Linked DNA regions of Struthio camelus. The protein of the gene in region 2 interacts with the protein of the main gene of each other region in a pairwise test. Links are inferred from orthologs where the notes say so. Each region holds a gene or a part of one and is shown on either strand. Other genes may lie near its edges.

Region 1 (10,263 bases), on a different chromosome or scaffold from region 2:
TGAAGCTGAAAAGCAAGGATGGGGGAAAGCATATCTTAACAATCAAATGCAGAAGAGGCACCTGGCAAAATCCTTCTAGTTTTTTTAATACTAAAAAATAACATCTGTAATGCAAAGATTTTAATACTGTATCTTATTGCAGACAACCAGATACAAATATTTATAGAAAGACAGTAGGACATATACTGCTGGCTTTGAAAGGTAATACCTGTTTATAAAAGACTATTAGTTGGAATAATTACTTCAGAAATAATTCAGTACAAGAAAGGAAATTCAGATCCATAGATGAAGACAGACAAAAAAAATCACAGTGTTCCCAGAAAGACGAGATGTTGTCCATTCCTTTCTGAGGGGGAAAGGGAAACTCATACCAGTTTGGAAGAAGAAGGGGATAGAAGACAGGAGAGGGAACTAAAACAACACACAAATACACATATACATTGGCATATGTGTATTGGCATACACAAAAGGAATTACTGCTACCGATAATAGTAAAACAAGCATATGTGTATTCGCATACACACAGGGAATTACTGCTACCGATAATAGTAAAACAAGTGTTAACGTTATTAAGCCCAACAATCAACTTACAGAAACTTTGCCAGCACCAGCATAGATATACCTGATACTAGCTAATGAAGACTGTTCCTTTCTAAACTGTCCAATATTACTTCAATTGATGAAGATTTTCCAGTGCCTTTCAGATTCAGGTTGTTAGGTTTTTCTAAGTTCTGTTCCTTCTTGGTTAGTTTCGAACCCTAAAAATCGTTGGCCTACGGGAAATGACAGGGCTACTGCTTACAAAAACAAATGTATCAAATTGTAACAAATTGTATTAACTACTATTTTGTAGCTTTCTTTGTTAAGGTAAGAATGCAGCGTGATCTAGTTGTTAGAAGAGGGAGTTAGAAACCCTGCTCTAACTTCGCGTTATAATGTGCTGCTTTATCACCAGTACAGCAGATTAATTTGGACAAATGATAGCACTGTCTGGATTTTACTTTTTTTCCACCACTTGTAAAACTGTCACTACTTGCTCATGTAAAAATCATTTAGAAGCTTAAAGTTAGAACATATACAATTAGAGATTGATCAACAGCATGTATCTGAACTTAGATTCAACTAAAAAACAAATCCATACTTGTAAAATAGACAAAGCTAGTAAAACTCATTTTCCTAATCTTGGGTATTCTTCCAAAAACAGTTCTTATAACGTTATGATTATGAGTGCGCTATCTAATTTTACTTTAGAAAAATCTGTTATTACATTTAAAATTATAACTGTGAGTACAAAGCAAATAGAGAGCATGGTCCTGAAATCTTTCCCCCCCCCCCTCCTTTCTCCTTCCTGAACTACAGCTTCTTGGCTTCAGCTCAATTAAGAAAGCAGTCATGAAAACAAAACTTGCTTTAGAAAGCAACTTATTCTTATTCCAAAGTGCAGTACAAACTTGTACTTTCATTCAGCTAAAAAAAGGAAAGTCCATATAAAGGAAAGTTCCATATAAAAAGATAAAAGGTTAAAAAGGGAAAGGTAATTCTAAACAAAATATTAAACAATGCAATATGGTAGCAAAAGACCAACTAATCACCTTAACAAGTGAAATCATTTTTGCGATGACATGGTTGCTCTGAAAGAAAAATCCAGTTGAGCTATGTAAAACCAAGCTACACAAAGAAAACCAACAAACCATTTGACATCTCTAACCCTGCTGAGGCATTAATCCAAGTACAAACAGCAACTACTCAGCAATTCTGAGTCTGTTTATATAGACATTTTATTTGGGTACACATAGAAGAACAGCAGAATTCATCCTTCATCATGAGAAATTAAACTATCTTAGGTAAAAATGTAGAAATCAACAGTTTAACGGTAAATAAAATTTAAGATTCTTTACAAAGCACTAGAAAGTCCATGAGGCATCTCAGTAGACTGTACACAACCACCACATATGGCAGGTATCCAAATTGTATTTCTGCATCAGTAGGAGTTACTTCTGATCAGTATTTTTGACTGAGTATTTCCAATCCATTCATGTCAGACAGTTGTTTCCTTCAACATACAAGTTAAACGTTTAACAGGCAGCCAAATTCCAACCTCACAGTGCACTGCAAGCAGGGCAGCTATCACCTGCCAACACAGCTCTCGGCTGTGGGGTTGCACATAAGTGTCAGAACTCGCTCATGAGACTCTTGGCACAGAGCCAGAAGCCAATTCAAACTAAGAGAACGTATACACGTTATAGGTATTAAAGCCAGATAAAAGGCAGAGAATCAGTGTATAGCCTCCCTAAACATCTGCAGACCAATTTGCACAATAGGCAAAATTCACACATTACAGGCTCTTTATTTTAATAATCTATTAGCCTTTTTCTCAAAATAATAATAATTATAATATTAATTTTTAAATCTTGATTCTGTTCTTCCTTTGTAAACTCTCTATGCATTTTATGTTTTACACCTGCCAAATCCACTCACTTTAAAGAAAGTTAAAGTTACTCATATTATAGTAGTGTTGGGATGGACACCATATACACACTTCAATAAACGGAGGAATATTCAAGAAAAACAGCATTTTCCATTATACCGATGGGATGCTAAGCCACACAGAGGCAGTAAGACTTGTAGAAGACCACACAAAGATCTGTGCAAGAAGCAGGAAGCAAGTACAGATCTTTCAAGTCTCAGGCCAGTACAGTAGCCATTCAGAAGACAACGCAAGCTGGATTTAAGTTAAAGTGATTTGATTATAGATACAATCCAGCATTTGGATTAACGTGAGAAGGTCTTCATGTAAAATCTTGGACCTTTTCTGTTGGAAAACAATGAAAACATGACATATTGCCTCTGAGAAAACCCAAATCCTCACGCTGCAGTTTCTTCATAACTCTTACCAACTCAATCAAAAATACCCTTAAAAACCCTTAAACAGTTGGAACACGTTCAGATGAAGACGGCTACAACCATGCAAATAATTTCACCCTCCTTGAAAGTAAATATATTCAGCAGATCAAGCAAGTTGAATGGTCAACAGGTAACTGAAGAGATAAGCATACAATGTAACTTTTCCTCTCACACCTCCCTGTCTTTCCCCACGCTCCCTCAAAGGAAAGAAATCTTTTCCTGTTCTGATCTATTTTTTCAGTCTAGTGCATTGGTATTTTGGAATATTTCCAACAGTGTTCTTTACTGGGGCATCATAACTGAATGCCAGATTTCAAAATTATTTTAGCATATTCTCATAGGCTACTTCAGAGAATAACGCTGAGTTAATACAGGATCTAGCAATTACAGCCTTTTAAAATGCAAATATGTTAAAACCTAGTAAACAAACTTTAAAAAAAAAAAATACCATCACTAGCAGAAAATCCAAATTCTGCTTCTTATTTCCATAAATCAAAACCCAGGTTACATCAGCTCATTAGCAGTCTGCACTTAAGGAAAATTTCTGAAAACACTGTAGGCCAAACCTATTGATTACCTAATCAATAGCTTATTTTTTGATAAGTTAATCAAGAACCAGCTTTTAAACTTAAGAGGTCAATAGCGATCTTATGCCTCCACAGGTCCATTTGTTTACCTCCAGTTCCACTCAGGAAGCAAAGAAAGAACGAAAGGTCTAATTCTCATTTCCCAATAACGCAAGCCCACTGAAGCAATTCCTCCTGGTGGTCACTTTCGCTCGCCCTTGCAGCCCGAGGCCAGGACATGCTTCCCGCAGCCCATTCCCCCCATCGCAGCCTTTGAAAGGCACCGAGTAAAAACTTTACAACATTGCTGCTCCTTTAACGAAACCACACGAGCCATCTGCCGTCTAATCCAACGCTGGAGAGGGTGGGGCAGGAATTCGGGAATTCGGACCAGGGCTTTTTTTTTTTTTTTTAAATGAGAAACACGATTAACTTTGATATTTTTGTGTTTGTTTTTTTTTCTTTTTTTTTTTTTTTTACCTTTCTGCCTGCTTGGTGTTGGAAGGCGGAGGGTGAAGCACAGTCTGGTTCCCTTCCATCTCCACGATACACTTGGTATTCAGGTCCAGCTCTGCGAGGCGACACGACAGGGGGCTGCACCGGCGGCGAGAGCACCCCTGCCCTCCTCACCGCCCGCCGCGCCGCGCCGCGCCGCGCCGCCCGGGGCTCCCCCGGCTCGGGGGCCGCCGCCGCCTCCCTACGTGCGCGCCGGAGGGCCGGCGGCATCGTCCCCACGGCCCCGGGACGGAGCTGGCTGCGAAGGGGGATGCTCCGCCTGCCTCGGCCTCCCCCCCCTCCACCCCACCCCACCCCGGCTGCCGGAGGCAGGGGGGGCGCCGGGGCACAAACGTTATTCTCCCGGGCTCGTTCCCGGCCGCCGCCGCCACCCCCCCACCGCGGCATCGGGAGGGGGCCGGGGCCGCGGCGCTCGCCTGTTACCTCTCCTGTTCATGGGCCGGACCCTGACGGCAACTTTCACCTTGGTGTCCGACATCTTTCCCCCCCCCTCCCGGGAGCGGCGGGCGGCCCCGCTCAGCGGCAGCGGCGGCTGGCAGCCTCGCAGCGCCGCGCACAGCGACACGGCGGAGCACCAACGGCCATGCCGGGCCGCGGCGAGGGCGGGGGGCCGGGAAAGCGCAGGGGCGGCGAGGGAGGCACAGGAGGAGGGTCCGGCGGCGGCGGCGCAGCCCCAGTCGCCTCCCTTCTCAGCCGCGGTCCGCGCCGGCTGCCGGCAGCCTCGTTTGCATAACCGCTCCCGCCGCCGCCGCCGCCGCTGCTCCCGCCGCCGCCGCCCCGCCAATCCCCAGCGCCATCTTCCGCCGCCGGGACGGCGGGGCGCGGGCAGGGGGCGGGCAACGGCCGCGGAAACGCCCAAGCGCCTTCGGCAAGAAGGAAGGGGATGGGGTGTGTTTGGGGGGGGGGGGAAGAACAGCCCCCCCGCCCCTCCCCGCGACAGCCGCTTCGCCCGAGTGAGCACGCGCGAGGGTCTCCTTGCGGTGGCGAAGGGGGCAGCGAGGTGGCGCTGCTGCGCCGGCCCGCGCATGCGTAAAGGGGGCTGTGAAGGCGGGGGGGGGGGGTGGGATGCGCTTATGCCCGGACGTCGCCCCCCCCCCCAACCGTCACGTAACGGGGAGGGGGCAGCGGGCTGACGGGCGGGGACAGGGGGTTGAGCGTAGCGCGGCGCAAGGCGGCGCGGCCCGTTTGAGGGGCTGCGGGCACGGGGGGGGGATGTTTTCTGCCGCCTCACGTAAGGCTTGCTCCCCCCCCCCCCCCCCGCTCCGTGGGTCTGCCTCAACGGCCTCCCCCGCCGGGGCGGTTTCCGTTGGGCGCCCCCCGCCCCGGGCCTGCCTCGCCCCGCCGCACCGCGCTGCCGCCGCGATGTCCCTCCTGCTTCCCTCGGCCTTTCCTGAAGCCTAGGGCCCAGGTGCAGGGGCGAATTCGCAGCACGATTGTAAGGCGGTGAAGTTTCTCTCTGGAAATAAAGTTTGCGTGCTTGCCCTGCAAAAGATGAGATGGGTCCAAAACGTGAAAAACGGTGTGAGAAACAAGAACAAAAAAAAAAAAAAGCATTTAAAGCCAGGTAAAGTATTGGGAAGGGGCTTGGGTACTGTCCACGGGGCAGGTCGTTAGGCAGGATAGGATGGAAAGGTGGAGGATGCCAGTGAAGGAGCAGGTCGTTGTACGGAGGCATGCAGAGAAGACATGTTGTCCAAAAAGGCTGGGATAGGGGTAAGGGCATTGACAGTTCCAGATAAGTTGGCTATAAATTTATATGATTCACTTATCATTTTAAAGTTGACCAGATACACATGAAAACCTTCTGGTTTGATGTTTGGAAAGGAAGGGAGCTTGCTCCTACCAGCTCTTGACAAGTGGAGACCTCTGAGGATGCAGGAAGCTGGGAGCAGATGCCTGCCCCGTCTGGGGTCAGGCGGGGAGAAAAAGACAGCATGTACTCCACCTTCCCCCTTCCTCTCTGTTTGGACTTGTGCAAGCACCTGCCAGGCTCCAGCATCTCAAAGTAAAAATTATGGGAAGTACATGCATAATCATTTTTTCTGAGTGAGATGACGGTGTTTAGAAACCAGAAGAAGGATTTTTCAAAGTTTTAGGCTGAATGGAAATGGACTTGCTGCAGGTATCAGCTGATAAACAACAGATAAACACTAAATTGAGCATCACACACTGATTATCTAGGTGAACTGTGTATTTTGCATGTGTTTGGAAGGCTTGGATGCAGAGGCTACGGTCAGATAAAACTGCCCCATTCTCAGGCTGGAATTTTTTTGTCCTTAGAAAAGGGCTGTCTGTGAAATATTGAGAATGCTCATATGGTGCTTCTCTTCCAGACAACAACTGGCAATTGTTAAGAAGTGCCTGCCCAAATACCACAGGAAAGAGTTGAGTCCGTTCACTAGCAGTGAGTTCAGCATCAGGGAAAAACATTATAAACACTAATTATCTTAGCAACCAGGAGCTCCAAGGACAGCTGAGCATTCAATGGATAAGCCAAGAAGATTTTTACTAAAACTGCAGTAGGTTTATGATCCCAGGATAGCTGCCTTTTTGAAGTGTCTTGTTAAAACTTTGTTTTTTCCCCAAAGGTGTTTCCTTGGCTTCAGGGAAATATATTCCATAGAATCAGTTCTTACCATCTAATGCAACTAACTGGCAGGAAATCCAGACACAAACTAGTGATATCTGTAGCATTTTGCTTACTGAAAAGACAGGTTAAAACCCAACTGTGATTATTCTGTCTACTCTGAGGCTAAACTATTCTAAGGAAAATGGGCTAAATCAAAAAATGATTAAGGGGTGGCTGCACTGAGAAACAACAGACATTTCAAAAAGAGGTAAAAACAACTGACAGTACTGAGAAGGTACAGAGTCGTGTCATTTCTCCCCCAGTTTCCCCTCCCTCCTGGCCAGCCTGAAGAGTTTTGGGTAGCGAATGAGAAGAACTGAGAGCAGAGAGGAGCGTGGAACATATCTGGAGTAGGTCCAGTTGCCCCTGAATGGCCAGTGGTTGCAGGAATGCTAAAGGGAAATGTGAGATATGCACTTAGTGTGGTGAAAGAGAAACTTTACCAAGTAAAGTTGGGTATCTGGAGAATGTCACTAGCAATAAGCCTCTGGAGCTGGTACATGTTGATTTCTTGCCTCTGGAAGTAGGCATAAGGAATGAAGTTTGCTGTGAAATGCAGAAGTATACGGTTCAGCCATGAAAGAAAAGGAGAGACGTTGAAATGAGACATCCCACCTATGACTGTATGACTGTAGACTGTAAGAACCCAGATCAAAGTAAGCATGGGCTCGAGATAAGGCATGATATCTGCAGTGACCGTGCAAAAATGAGTTCTGCAAAACTTGAGTATTATTGGGAATGGTGGCCAAGATATTTTGGGAAGATCTCTATTTTCCACCTCTTAGTGGAAAAAATGTATCAATGCAAGATTATATAAAAACAATGAAATTTGAGGAAGGGAAACTAAAGGGTGTCTTAATGAGATGGTCTATGATTTTGGCTGTGGGAAAGGTCTTGAAAACAATTTCTTGCCGATGTCTGGAATAAGCCTCTGAAAGACATTCAGCCATTTGCAGATGCAGAAAGCCAGCCATGGAAAGGAGTCTGAAAAGGGAGATGCAACCTAATTTGTCCTAATATAGACTGTAGCTGTTCTCTTCTTGTGAAAACCTGATTTCTTCTGATGCAAGCTAAATGGGAAAAGGATTTTTGTTCTTTCATTCGCATCAGCATGTCCTGAAAAACAACTACCAAGAATGACATGCTTTTCTGTCCCCCAAGGAAGGGTTTTTGGCAACACCTGTATCAATACCTGACAACATCTGTTAGGCAGCATGCATGTAGCAGACTGTATTTTTGGTTTCCTCTGAACTTTTGGCACTACAGCAGAACAGCAAGGAACTTATGTTAGAGGGGTCCCATTAGATCTCTCATTGTACCTAGCCCGAAGAGCAATCTGGACTTCAGTACACCAGTATCGTCTTAATACGCTTGACAGAATCATCAGGCCTGAAAAAATTATTAGTTTCTCATGGACTTGAATATCAGAACTGGTGTATATATATATAACTTGCAGTATTGGGAAGCAGTTTTTAAGATCCCTTAAGAGGGAGAAAGAAGAAATGGACTTGATGTAAGAGCCAGAGTGTATGTGCCAGGAAAGCAAATTCTTGACTGTGTGAGTAGGGGGATATTAACTTTGGTCAAAAGATCAGTGGAAAAGAATTTACCGCTACCATCTTACAAGCAAAGAATAGCCAAGACCTGTTTCAAAACCTCACTGGGCAGAAGCTCCACAGGGTCAGAAAGTTGTTGCCACCATCCAGAAATGAAACAGAAGCCAAATAATCAAGTCTTCACTTGCATGTGTGCAACTGGTTTGACTTTCATTTACGTTTTGGTACAGAACTAACAAATTCTATTATCTGATGGTGTGACTAATGGAATCTGTGGTTTCCGTGAAAGGACTTAATCTGCTAGTGTTTCTTTAGTTTTAAGAGGATTCCAAAGGCATTTAGAGTTGATTAGTCACATACACCAAAGCCCAATTCTGCAAGATGCTCTGTGATGTGCCTACCTCTGAGGTACAGATCACTTTGTCACATCACGTTTGGAATCTTTATTTAACATTTAAATAAAAAGTGAAGGTAATATCACTTTTATTATGACTATTGTTAAGCATCAAGCTTACCAGCACAAGACTCTCAAATGTTTTCAAAGGCTTGTTTTTACACTAAGGTGCCTCAAGATAAATCCCTGTTTGCACATAGACACCATCATAGCGAAGATAGTTATCTACAGTGTAGGTGGTAAAACTGCACGACGTGCTGAGAGATAAGAGAGTTCCTAAGTGCTGAGTATGTGGAGAAGAAGGCAAGCACAGGTTGCTGGCTGCACTTGTAGCCCTAATTTCTCTCTTTGCCCAGATTGGGGGGATGCTGAAGATCAGACCTCTCCGTCTGCAATACCCTGAAAAATCAACTAATTTAATCAGGCATCAAAATCTTTATTGAGATGTGTCTTGTGTACCCCTTTGTGAAAAACAAGGTTATCAAAATTTTATAAAGTAATATACTGATCGCAAGTAAATTCCTGTTTCCTTAAGTAATGGAGGAAAATAGTGGCAAATGAAAACTAAGAAAACATTTCCAGGCTTACTTAGTGTTTTCTGAGCAATTATTGTCTTTATTTAAGGTATTGTAAAATTTAGAATCATCCAGGCTTTTCTCTCCCAATCTCGTTTTTTTAAAGCCTTTCCTTTTATTCTTTTCTTTTTAATAGCTGTCTGTGTCTGAACAACATGGAGTATCATGACTTTACAACAGCAGTGTAAAACTTACCACATAACTACAAGATCTGAATCAGGAAGACAGTCTCTTTAGATTCACAGCAGAAGGAATGGTCTTCCAGACATAGCACCTGTAAATGAAAAGATAGGGCAGGAAGAGCTAGAAGGTAGGTGGAGCTCTCAGAGCTCTGTGTCTCCACAGAGCATCATCACGGAACATAGATGCGACATGCTAAAATCCAACTATTCTAGCATTCGCTTATTAACTGTTTAAGAAAAATGCTTAAAATTGGCTCTGCGAGTCAGAGTCCATAGAGAAGTATATACATATGTGAGATTTCAGACACCTACACATATCTATGTCAGAAAAGCAAGAGTATGCCAGGTATCTATAACAACATTTTATTTGGAAAAAAGTTTCGGACACTTTGTCCTTATTTGAAACATTCTCTAATTCACTTAAAATACAAGAACGCCAAAGGACAATATCAGCTATTCTAGGGCAAAATAGTGTACTGCAAGTCTCCAAACTGAGCAGAAATTGAATAAGAAGGGGAGGCAAAAAGCAAGATGGAAAAGACGAGAAAGAAGAGGTAAAACCTCAGTGAGGCTTTTTCAATCTTTGTAAGTTTCAAAGTACAAATATTGAATTGCTTTTTATCCTTATGTTATGTCTTTGTATTTTTTTTTTCTGATAAGTAATAGTTTTTACATATTTGGAATAAGACTTCAGTGATAGTGCTTGTTCCTACATGTAACTATGTTTTTGCACTGACAAGGAAAGAGGATGCTTGGAATATGCTGGAGAATGAGAAAGAAAATGGCAGAAGGAAGTGAGTGCAATTCAGGCCACTAGGATGCTTATCTTCTGGCATTACATCAACACAGCTACCATATGGAACCCTTTATATCTCTGTCTTCACTACCAGTAGCAACTTTGGGTGAATGTCTCTCACCTGTCAACATTTGTTAGCCTGATC
Region 2 (10,565 bases):
GGGCCTGCCCTTCCACACACTGTTCCCCAGGAGCCTGGTAGCCCAGAGCCTCTCTGCACAGTCCCTTGCTCCCTGGAGGTGCAACTCCACTCACCCAACCCTGGGGTATCCCCACTGAGGGGTCCACATCCAACTATCCCAGCAGCTGCAGGAGAGGAGGAGGCAGGGTCAGCAGCTGTTTCCCAGACTCATAGAGCAATTGGGATCAGCAGGGACTCTGGGGAGCCGCCGGTCCAACCTCCTGCTCGAGCTGGGGCAGGACTGCGTCCAGTTGGGTGTTGAATATCTCCAAGGATGGAGCCTCCACAACATGTTCCCATGCTCAGCCACCCTCACAGTCAAGACATGGTTTCTTGTGTTCATTCTGTGCCCATTGCCTACTGAGACGAGTCGGGTCCTGTCCTCTTGATACCCTCCCATCAGCTATTTATACATGTTTTTCAGTTTTTATACGCATTCCTCAGTTTGCCTGGGGTCCTGGCTCCTTGCTGCCCGGCAGGAGCCCTGCGCCATCTTGGAGGTGAGCAGCACTCCCCATGGGAGTGCCAGCTCCCCACTGCAGCTACATTTCTAGGTTCTGGACGAGTCTAGTGGCCACCCCAGCCACCACCCCCCAGGCTGAGGCTGACGGGGACAGAGCATCGCGTTTCAGTCCACTGCCATCACAGGCTTGTGGTACCCACAGCAAGACCTCCATGCTGTAGTTCCCATTTCTGAGACACAGTTTGCACCCTGAGCAGGCAGCAATGGCGTTTGTGAGCAGCATTGAGGCAGCTCAGAGCCAGATGCATGGGGACAACCCCACCATGGCAATGGGGACATCACTCTGGATGCAACCTCAAGCTCTGGGTACCCTGTCACCAGGAGCTGGGAAAGGACTGCAGTAGACACAACTGCCAAGTATTTGCAGCTGGCCATTATCTCTGGGGCCAATACCAGTACCACCCTCCCTAGCAGCTAGATGATCCCTCCCTATGAAGCTACAGGTCTGGCACCTCATCCCCGGCACTGCATTACCTGGTAGGACAGGACGTCTGCATGATGGCGCTCCTCTGAGTCCTGCCTCTGCTTCTCCAATGATTCCTGGGTCCCTTTGAGGGCATCAAGCTCAGTGGTCTTGGACTGGAGCTGGCGACGGTACTCGCTGATCTCCTCCTGGGCCGAGCGGATGGCATCCGTGTTCACCTTGGCAACTTCGGAGAGCTTGTCCAGCCTCACTGCAACAGGGCAAAGGGAAAGCTGCAGCAAGCAAGGGAGGGAGGCTTCATTCTCCCCTTCTGGGGCAACTGAGGTGGCTCCTGACCCCCCAAAAACCCCTGAGCCTGCAAATCTTCTGTGTGCACACCCTCTGCAGCACTAAGCCCTGGCAGGGGCTTCCTGGGAGGTTGGCTCAGCCAGCCCTCACTCCGTCTGTGCTGGGGTGATGACAGTGCCTGGGTAGGACAGACTAGGCAGCTTTGGGTTTTTTTTTTCCATCCTGGATTTTTTTTCCCATGCAAACCTACTGTCTCAGGGCCTCCTCTTGAGCTCCTGCCACAAACTCAATGACCTACAGACCTGCCTTCTCACTCCAGCTCTGGGAGTGGTAGGAATGGCAGCCCCAGGCATCCCTCCGGCCACATTCGGGCCCTGAGCAGCCACACCGTCCTTGAGCGGGTGGCTGGAGGGCACAGAGGGCTCTGCTGCCCACCAAACCTGTGTCTCTTGCCGCAGCCAACTGCAGGGTGTGTGTCACTCAGGGGCTTTCCACAGTGCCCTGAGGCACCCCAAGGGACAGAGGCCGGTGCCTGCTGCTCCTAGCACCCTGCAGGATGGCTGCTGGGCACCAGCAGCCTCAGCCCTGCGGGGATGCTGGTCCCAGAGCAGGGTGCTGAGGCCACCCAGCACCCACAAGTACTGAGCCCTCTGCTCTCCAAGCTGCTGCACCCGTGCAGCACCCCCATGGGTGCTAGGTTCCCCCCCCCCAGAGGACTCCGATGGGTGATGACCCTTCCCCGCACTCCCAAGGGTGCTGAGCCAGGAACTCGAGGTGTTGACCACGCCCGGCGCGCCCATGGGTGCTGATGCGGGCGCTCTCCAGGGTGCTGAAGCCCCCGGCCTCTCTCCAGGGTGCTGAAGCAGGGGCTCCCTGAGGTGCTGAGCCCCCTCCGGCCTCTCTCCAGGGTGCTGACCGCCTCCCGCCCTCTCAAGGGTGCTGAACCGCTCGGCTCAGTGCCGTAGTGCCCCGCCCAGTAGCGCAGCAAGGACGCTCCCCGCCCCCCCGGAAGGATGCGGCACCCCCCCCCCAACACTGCGCTATCATCCCCTCCCTGCAGCGCACCGCAAATACTCCCGACCTGGCCAAATTCCAGGGAAAAGAGACCGGTGCGCAGCGTTATCGCGGCACCCCAAAGACCCGCGGGGCGCAGTGGCCATGCTGCCCTCCCCAAAAAGCAGTGCGGGGCGAGGAGGGGAGAGGGGTGTCCGCCCTGCAAATAGCCAGGGTGCTGGGGGCGACGGGTGGGATTACCGTAACGCCCTGATGGAGAGCGCTACGCGGGAGGCGGGGGGAGGTCCGCGCACACGTCCGCGGTGGGGTTACCGTGACGCCCTCCCGAAGCGCCGACCCCGGGGTCCCTGCGCGCAGAGGGGCGGGGCAGGGGTGCCCGCGGCGGGGCTGCGCACCCGCGGAGCGGGGTCCGCGCCCGGGGAAGGGAGCGGGGGGATAGGAGGAGAGCTCACCTCGGAACCAGTCCTCGGCCTGCAGCGTGCTGCGCGCCGCCGTGCCCTCCAGCTGAGCGCGCAGGTCGCGGAGCGCCGCGCTGAGGCCGGGGCCGGCGGCGGCGGCGGGGGGCGGCGGCTCGAGGCGGGCCCCGCGCAGCAGCTCGCCCAGCTCGGCCTCGTGCTGCCGCCGCAGCAGCGCCGCCTCCTCGCGCAGGGCGCGGGCGCGCTCGGCCAGCGGCCCCCGGGCCCGCTCCTCCTGCGCGGAGCGCTGCGCCAGCCCGCGGGCCGCCGCCTCCAGCGCGCCGCGCTGCCGCGCCTCCTCTTCGAGGCGCGCCCGCAGCGCCGCCGCCTCCTGCGCCAGGCGCGCCCGCTCCAGGCGCAGCTGGCCCTGCTCGGCGCCCAGGCGCAGCACGGCGGCGCGCAGGTCGCGCAGCTCCCGCGTGTACAGCTCGCCCATGGCGGCGCGGCCCGCCTGCTGCTGCCGCAGCGCCGCCGCCTCGGCCGCCAGCGCCCGGTTGCGCTGCTCCAGCGCCCGCACCCGCTCGATGTAGCCGGCGAAGCGGTCGTTGAGCACTTGCAGCAGCTCCTTCTCGTTGCGCGCCCGCGGCTCGCCGTTCAGCGAGTCGAGGCTCTCGGTGGAGGAGGCGGCCGCGCTGCCGCCGCCGCCCCGCGCCCGGCCCGGCGCCGGTGCCGGCCACGAGTGGAAGCCGCTGGAGGCGGCGGAGCGCGGGGCGGCGCGGCCCGGCGGCGCCGGGGGGCCCAGCAGCGTCTCCAGCAGCAGGCTCATCGCGGCCACCTCACTGCGGCACCGCCGCCGCCGCCGCCCCTTTATAGGGCCCGGCGCCGCCCCGCCACCGCCACCGCCCCCGCACCGCCCCCGCTCCCGCCCCCGCCCCGCGGGCCCGGGGAGTCCCCACGGCCCGGCCCCGCCGAGGGAGCGGGACCCCCGCGTGGGAGAGCGAGACCCTGCGGAGGAAAGTGGGACGCCGCGGGGGAGAGCGGGACCCCCGCGAGGGGATGGGGATCACCCGGAGCAGAGTGGGAACCCCAGGGCAGGGGATTGGGACCCCTGGGGAGAGCGGGGTGACCCTGGGAAGCGAGTAGGATCCCTGGTGGCAGAGATCGGGGCCCCCGGGAAGGCAGCAGGGACGCCTCCGTGGCGGAAGGGACCCCCGCGGACACAGCAGGGAGCCCCGGGGGACAGCGGAGATGCCCAAGAGAGGCAGAGGGAGAAGGTGTGGGTCTCTCCTCCCAGGGAAAGGACCACGGGGAACTGCCCTTGGAGGAAGGGAGAATGGAGGTACTCCGGGGGGGACAAAGTGGGACTCCCGGCGGGGGGGGGGGGGTGGAGAGCAGAGATGTCCCTCTCAAGGACAAGAGGCTGGGACCTTCCCACCTCTGCAAGGGATGCTCTCTGCGGTCCCCGGACCCTCTGCCCCACAGCAGGACTGGGGGCATTCCTGCCTAGCCCCCAGAGCTGCTGGCTGCTCTCAGGCTGCAGTGACCAGAGCTGGGGAGCAGGCAGGAGGGAGCAGGCGAACGGGGCCATGTCCCAGCTCAGGGTGCTCCCCGGGACCAGCCTGGCAGCCGGCTGGCAGCCCAGCGGCAGGGCCACGCACCAGGCTGACGACTTGCAAACTCACTGCACCTGCACGCCACATGTAGCTGGCCCTGCTCCATGGCATGGAGGGGCTGCCAGGTGAGACTGGCAGCGTGTGGGGGGAAGCAGGGTGGCATCACCCCCCAGGCCCCTCTGTCAGTCCCTGTCTTTGGGTGTTGTCTGCCTGTCCGTCTGCTCATCCGTCCATCCTGCACACTTCACCCCCAAGAACCAGCGCCGTGGGGCACCCCAGCTTTGGGCTGATGCTGTTCCCCACGCGGGGGCTTCGGGCAAGGCCTGTCACCGGCCCCCGACATTGTGGGGGCAGTTGGGTTGGCTCTGCCCCTGCCAAAGGCAGCGCATGGCGAGCGCAGAGCTGATCCTTGCAACCTCGCCACCCCGCGAAGGAGCCCAGCGAGGGCAGAGTGTCCTGGCGGTGAAACCCCAGGGCAGGGAGAGGGGCAGAGGATGCTGGCAGAGCGGGTGGGGGAGACCCAGCCTCCCCCCTGCCCCCCTGCTGCAGGATGGGTCCTGAGCCCCATCAGCTTCCCAGGGTGCTCGAGCTGGTGGCCAATAGGTGTCAAGGGCACATGGGGAGATGACAAGGGCCACCGGGGAGACATGGGGCCGCGGTGCCCCCCCCACCCTTGCCGGGGAGCAGGGAGCGCACGGCCCCACCCAACGCACAGGTAAACTCAGCCAATCAGCACTCAGGTACAGCCCACGCTGAGCAGGTACGTACATCCCACACCCAGCACACCCCTACAGCCCACCCCAACACACCCCACAACCCACACCCAACACACCCCTACAGCCCACCCCAACACACCCCACAACCCACACCCAACACACCCCTACAGCCCACTCCCAACACACCCCACACCCCACACCCAACACACCCCTACAGCCCACTCCCAACACACCCCACAACCCACACCCAACACACCCCTACAGCCCACCCCAACACACCCCTATAACCCACACCCAACACACCCCTACAGCCCACTCCCAACACACCCCACAACCCACACCCAGCACACCCCTACAGCCCACTCCCAACACACCCCACAACCCACACCCAACACACCCCTACAGCCCACCCCAACACACCCCTATAACCCACACCCAACACACCCCTACAGCCCACTCCCAACACACCCCACAACCCACACCCAACACACCCCTACAGCCCACCCCAACACACCCCTATAACCCACACGCAACACACCCCTACAGCCCACTCCCAACACACCCCACAACCCACACCCAACACACCCTACAACCCACACTCTGCAGGTACATACAACCCACACCCAACACACACCTACTGCCTACAACCAACAGGCATGCACAGCCCACACCCAACAGGCACCTACAGTCCACACCCAACAGGTATGTACAGACCACACCCGATGCATACCTACAACCCACACCCAACAGGCACCTACACCCCACACCCAACAGGCACCTACAGTCCATACCCAACAGGCACCTACAACTCATGCCCAACAGGCACCTACACCCCACACCCAACAGGCACCTACAGTCCATACCCAACAGGCACCTACAACTCATGCCCAACAGGCACCTACACCCCACACCCAACAGGCACCTACACCCCACACCCAACAGGCACATACAACCCACGCCCAACAGGCACCCACGGCCCACGTGGGAGCCCTCCGCGGCGCCTGCCGAAGGGGGGTCTCTTTCCCCTCGGCTCCCCGCTGCCCGTTTGCGACGGGAACCGCCGGTGCCGGCTGTGGGGGCGGCAGGCGGGGAGCAGCGGGCAGCGGGTGTGCAGAGCCCCTTCCCGGCGGGGGGGGGATTTCGGCAGGGTCCGAGCCCTGCTGGGGAGGGGGCGGCTCTGCACAGAGGAGGAAATCTGTATTTGTGATCCTTGTGAATTCCCCTACGTGGAGGGGGGGGGGATCGTTCCCACCGCCTCCTCCCCGCCCGCAGCCGCCCTGCCCGGCCCCGGCGGCGCAGCGGCAACGGCCCGGCCAGGGGCTCCTTCCCGCGGGTCTCCCCAGCGCCGCTGCCTCCCACCCCAGCAGCCCCGCGCGGACGTTTTGCTGCTCAGCACTTTTTTTTTTTTTCCAGCAGCCCTGCAGCAGCGCATTGCCCTGAAACGTGAGGCTGCGGCGGAAGCGGGGACTGAAATCAGCGCCGGGCGGCGCTGGGGGGGCAGAGATGCCGCAGCGGCGGGCTGGCCGGCGCCGCGCGTGGGCAAGAACCGGCTGACGGGGCCGCTCTCCCCCTCAAAGCCTTGGGTGAGATGCAGCGAGGACGTGTCCCCGGGGCGGCTTGGGGCGGCGGGTCCCGGACGCCGCGCATCGGTCACCTCCTGCCTAGGGAAACCAAAGCGCTTCTAACCGGCCAAATAGCTACAGCTGCTTCTGCCTTCAAATATCGGATGAATTTATTACTTCATAGGGCAGAAAAGCTCTGTGCCCGATGAGTCACTCCGCAGCTGCCAGCGGCGCTGAGCGCGGGCTGCTCTCGCCGAAGCCCCCCGGTGCGGCTCGGCAGGGCTACGAGCCGCCGCAGAGGCCGGCGGCTGCCCGCTGACTCAGCAGGCCGCGGCGGCACCGCGTGCGGCTCTCCCGGGCGCCGCTGCAGCGAAACCCTTCCCCAAAGCTCTGCTTGAACGTCGCCGTGGGTTCCCTTGCGGCCCCCGGTCCCAGCCCGAACCGGGGGCTCCAGCCCCGTGCTCTCCCCACCTTCCCCCCCAGGTGCTCGGCAACCCCCCCAAAAGTGACCGAAGGTGTCACGTTCCTGGGACATGAAACTGCCACGGAGCTGCAGTGACAGCAGCGAACACGTCTCGATTACTGCCGCCGAGGAGCTCCCCGGCGTCCTTTCAAAGTCACCCGGGCGGCCGGGGCCGTCAGCGCTGCGGGAAGCGGGAATTTCTGTGGCGGCAGCACATCCCCGCTCCCTGCTGGCCCTGCTCCCGCCCGGCAGCCTCTCGGGGGCTTCCAAGCTGTTCCCTGCATTGCGTTTTCCCCTGGAAAGGCGGCCTTGCGGCAGCAGAGCGCCGCTGGCTGCTGGCAGAGACGCTTCCTGCAATTTGTCTCCTTCCAAAACCTGGCTCTTGCACAGCTTGATGCTTAGTAGCCCGGCAGAGACCCAGCGAACTCGCTTCACCCAGGAGCGGGCACCTGCAGCCCTCTCGCAAGGGCGCAGAGCAGCATCGCCCACTTGATTATTTGTTTTTCCAAATAAACTATTTCGGGAGGCAGCTGTGAGCGTTCGTGGCTGCTTTGCTGTGTCGCTGCTGCAGCGGGCCGGGCTGGCTGCGGCTTGGGTGAAGCGAGTTTGCTGGGTCTCTGCCGGGCTGCGAAACGTTCCTCCGTTTCACGGTGGTTTTTCCGCTTCTCGGCCGACGGTTTGGCCTGCGCGGAGCTGGTTCGACCGCGGGGCGCCTGGGCCAGGGCCGCCGGGCAGCGGGGTGAGAGCGGCTGCGGCGCTCCTGGCTCGCGCAGCCCCGGCATTTGCGCGGCCGAAATGGTGCTGCTGCTCCGGCTTGGCCCGCCGCGTCATGTCACGTCATGTCACGTCACGCCAGGTCGCGTCACGCCACGCAGGGACCGCCTGGGGAGCCAGCAAGGAGGCCCGGCAGCCACGGGCCCCGTGCGGGGAGGCCCCGGGCGTGAAGTTCCCCCCAGCTGGGGGGATCCGGAGGCTCCCGAGCTGCTTTCGACGTCCTCGAGCCCCGTTTCGGGGGTTTTCTGGGAAAAACTCGGTGGCCTCCTCGTCACCGGCACAGGTGACAGTGACGTGGGGTGGCATGAGGACCCCTGCGGCACGGACGGCCGGGCGGCGCCGAGTGCCACCAGCTCAGGGCCTGGCCGACGGGAGGTGGGTGACCGCGGTGTCCCGGGGGGGGGATCACCCGTGGGATCCCCACGCCGGGCGCCCACCAGGGTCCCCGCAGGCCGTCCCCGTGTCACCCCCGGCAGGCGGCGCTTGGGGCCGATGGTCCCCCGGGCCCGGCGGGGAGGGAGCTCGGGGAGGGACGCCCGGAGCCGCCGTGTCCGTATCCGTGTCCGTGTGTCCCCGTGTCCCCCCCCCCCGGCCCCGTGCGGGCTCAGCGCGCGCCAGCCTCGCGCGCCCCCTCCACCCCGCGGCCCGTCCGAGGCCCCGCCCCCAGCTCCCCGGCCCCGCCCCCGGCTCCCCGGCCCCGCCCCCGGCTCCCCGGCCCCGCCCCCACTCCCGGCCCCGCCCCGCGCCCCGGAAGCGCTGGCCCGCTCCGCCCTCACTTCCGCTGGGCCGGTGGCAGCGGGCGGCGGCGGGAGCGCGGCGGGAGGTACGGCCGGGCCGGGCCGGGCCGGGGGCGCTGGGTCAGGGTCGCCGCCGTCGCGCGGACCGGCTGCCCGCGGGGGCCGCTGCCCGGGAGCGGGAGCGGGAGCGGTGGCAGCCGCTGCCCCCGGCCCTGCTCCGCTCGCTTCCCCCGCTGGGCCTCCTGCCGCGGGCCGGCCGCCCTCGATCCCCCCTTCAGCCCCCCCCCCGGGGTCCGGCCCCCTTCAACCTCCCCCCCCGGGGTCCGGCCCCCTTCAAGCCCCCCCCCCCGGGGTCCGGCCCCCCTTCAACCTCCCCCCCCCGGGGTCCGGCCCCCTTCAACCTCCCCCCCCCCGGGGTCCGGCCCCCTTCAACCTCCCCCCCCCCGGGGTCCGGCCCCCTTCAACCTCCCCCCCCCCGGGGTCCGGCCCCCCTTCAACCTCCCCCCCCCCCGGGGTCCGGCCCCCTTCAACCTCCCCCCCCCCCGGGGTCCGGCCCCCTTCAACCTCCCCCCCCCCGGGGTCCGGCCCCCCTTCAAGCCCCCCCCCCCGGGGTCCGGCCCCCCTTCAAGCCCCCCCCCCCGGGGTCCGGCCCCCCTTCAACCTCCCTCCCCCGGGGTCCGGCCCCCTTCAAGCCCCCCCCCCAGGAGTCCGGCCCCCTTCAAGCCCGCCCCCGCCCCGCGGGGTCCGGCCCCCTTCAACCCTCCCCCCCGCCCCCGGGGCCGGGCCCCCTTCAACCTCCCCCCCGCCCCCGGGGCCGGGCCCCCTTCAACCTCCCCCCCGCCCCCGGGGCCGGGCCCCCTTCATACTCCCCCCCCCCCGGGGCCGGGCCCCCTTCAAGCCCGCCCCCGCCCCGCGGGGTCCGGCCCCCTTCAACCCTCCCCCCCGCCCCCGGGGCCGGGCCCCCTTCAACCTCCCCCCCGCCCCCGGGGCCGGGCCCCCTTCAACCTCCCCCCCGCCCCCGGGGCCGGGCCCCCTTCATACTCCCCCCCCCCCGGGGCCGGGCCCCCTTCAAACTCCCCCCCCCCCCCCCCCCGGGCCAGGCTCCCTTCAAACTCCCCCCCCCCCGGGGCCGGGCCCCCTTCAACCCTCCCCCCCCTCCCCGGGGCCGGGCCCCCTTCAAACTCCCCCCCCTCCCCATCCCCGGGGCCAGGCCCCCTTCATACTCCCCCCTGGGGCTGGGCCCCCTTCAAACTCCCCCCCCTTCTCCCCGGGGCCAGGCCCCCTTCAAACTCCCCCCCCCCCAGCCCCCTGGGTCTTGTCCCCCACTTCTTGCGGGGGGTCTCGGGTGGCTGGTCTCAGGGTGAAATAATTGTTATTCTGGGCTCAGTTTTTGCAGGTGCTGCCGGGGGAGAGGCCATCGGCCGCGCTCTCCCGGTCCCCTCCGTGGGGAGGTCGCAGCAGGCTGCGGACGGGCAACTTTTGGGGCTGGGGGTGTAGAAAACTCGCGTTCGTTCCTCGAATCGCTGCCCTGCTGTCTGGGGATGTTTTGGGGAGCCCGGTGGCGGCAGCAGATCCCAGCACGGCTGACGTGACCCGTACCTAGCGCTGCCCCGGCGCTTCTGCTGAGAGGCACGCAGCTTATTTGCAAGAAAACTGGTGAAATAGGAGGAAACTCATCCCCGCTTCCTTCACGAGCACTGCTTTTGGGTGGAGGAACGAATACTTGCCGTTCTGCGAAACTCTACCGGGAAGCTGCTGGAATTGGGAAGGGTCCTGGGGGCTGGGGCAGAGACAGCTTTGGGATCTGAAAGTAGTATCTGATGCGCTTGGTCCTATAAACTCCTGTTTTTCCCAGCCTTGCTCAGGGAGCTGCTTCCTCAGCTTCACGCAGAATCCGCCCCGGCCTGGCCGCTGCCCGTGTAATGGCATCTGCCAAAGCGCGGTGAAATGTCATGCGAATTCCGAGAAATTGGTGTCAAACTCCGTGAGTGATGAACTTTCTTTTCAGGAATCTTTAATAACATCCCATGAGGAAC

Evidence for each region. The genes of interacting proteins can lie anywhere in the genome.
Region 1: the proteins of AP1B1 (region 2) and KIF13A interact in binary tests that used the Homo sapiens proteins (3 or more experiments, as listed by UniProt). The link is inferred for Struthio camelus from reciprocal best matches to the Homo sapiens genes AP1B1 and KIF13A.

The regions. Positions count from the first base shown.
Region 1 is NC_090943.1:97,756,241-97,766,503, reverse strand, and holds the start of KIF13A (kinesin-like protein KIF13A), read right to left. Parts: upstream 4,741-10,263; 5' UTR 4,465-4,740; coding exon 4,410-4,464; intron 4,042-4,409; coding exon 3,951-4,041; intron 1-3,950. UniProt on the Homo sapiens protein: Plus end-directed microtubule-dependent motor protein involved in intracellular transport and regulating various processes such as mannose-6-phosphate receptor (M6PR) transport to the plasma membrane, endosomal sorting during melanosome biogenesis and cytokinesis.
Region 2 is NC_090958.1:5,165,854-5,176,418, forward strand, and holds the start of AP1B1 (AP-1 complex subunit beta-1), read left to right. Parts: upstream 1-6,553; 5' UTR 6,554-6,576; intron 6,577-8,534; exon of another isoform or gene 8,535-8,615; intron 8,616-10,384; exon of another isoform or gene 10,385-10,513; intron 10,514-10,537; exon of another isoform or gene 10,538-10,565. Other genes in the region: NEFH (neurofilament heavy polypeptide), read right to left, coding at 1,018-1,217, 2,722-3,490. UniProt on the Homo sapiens protein: Subunit of clathrin-associated adaptor protein complex 1 that plays a role in protein sorting in the late-Golgi/trans-Golgi network (TGN) and/or endosomes.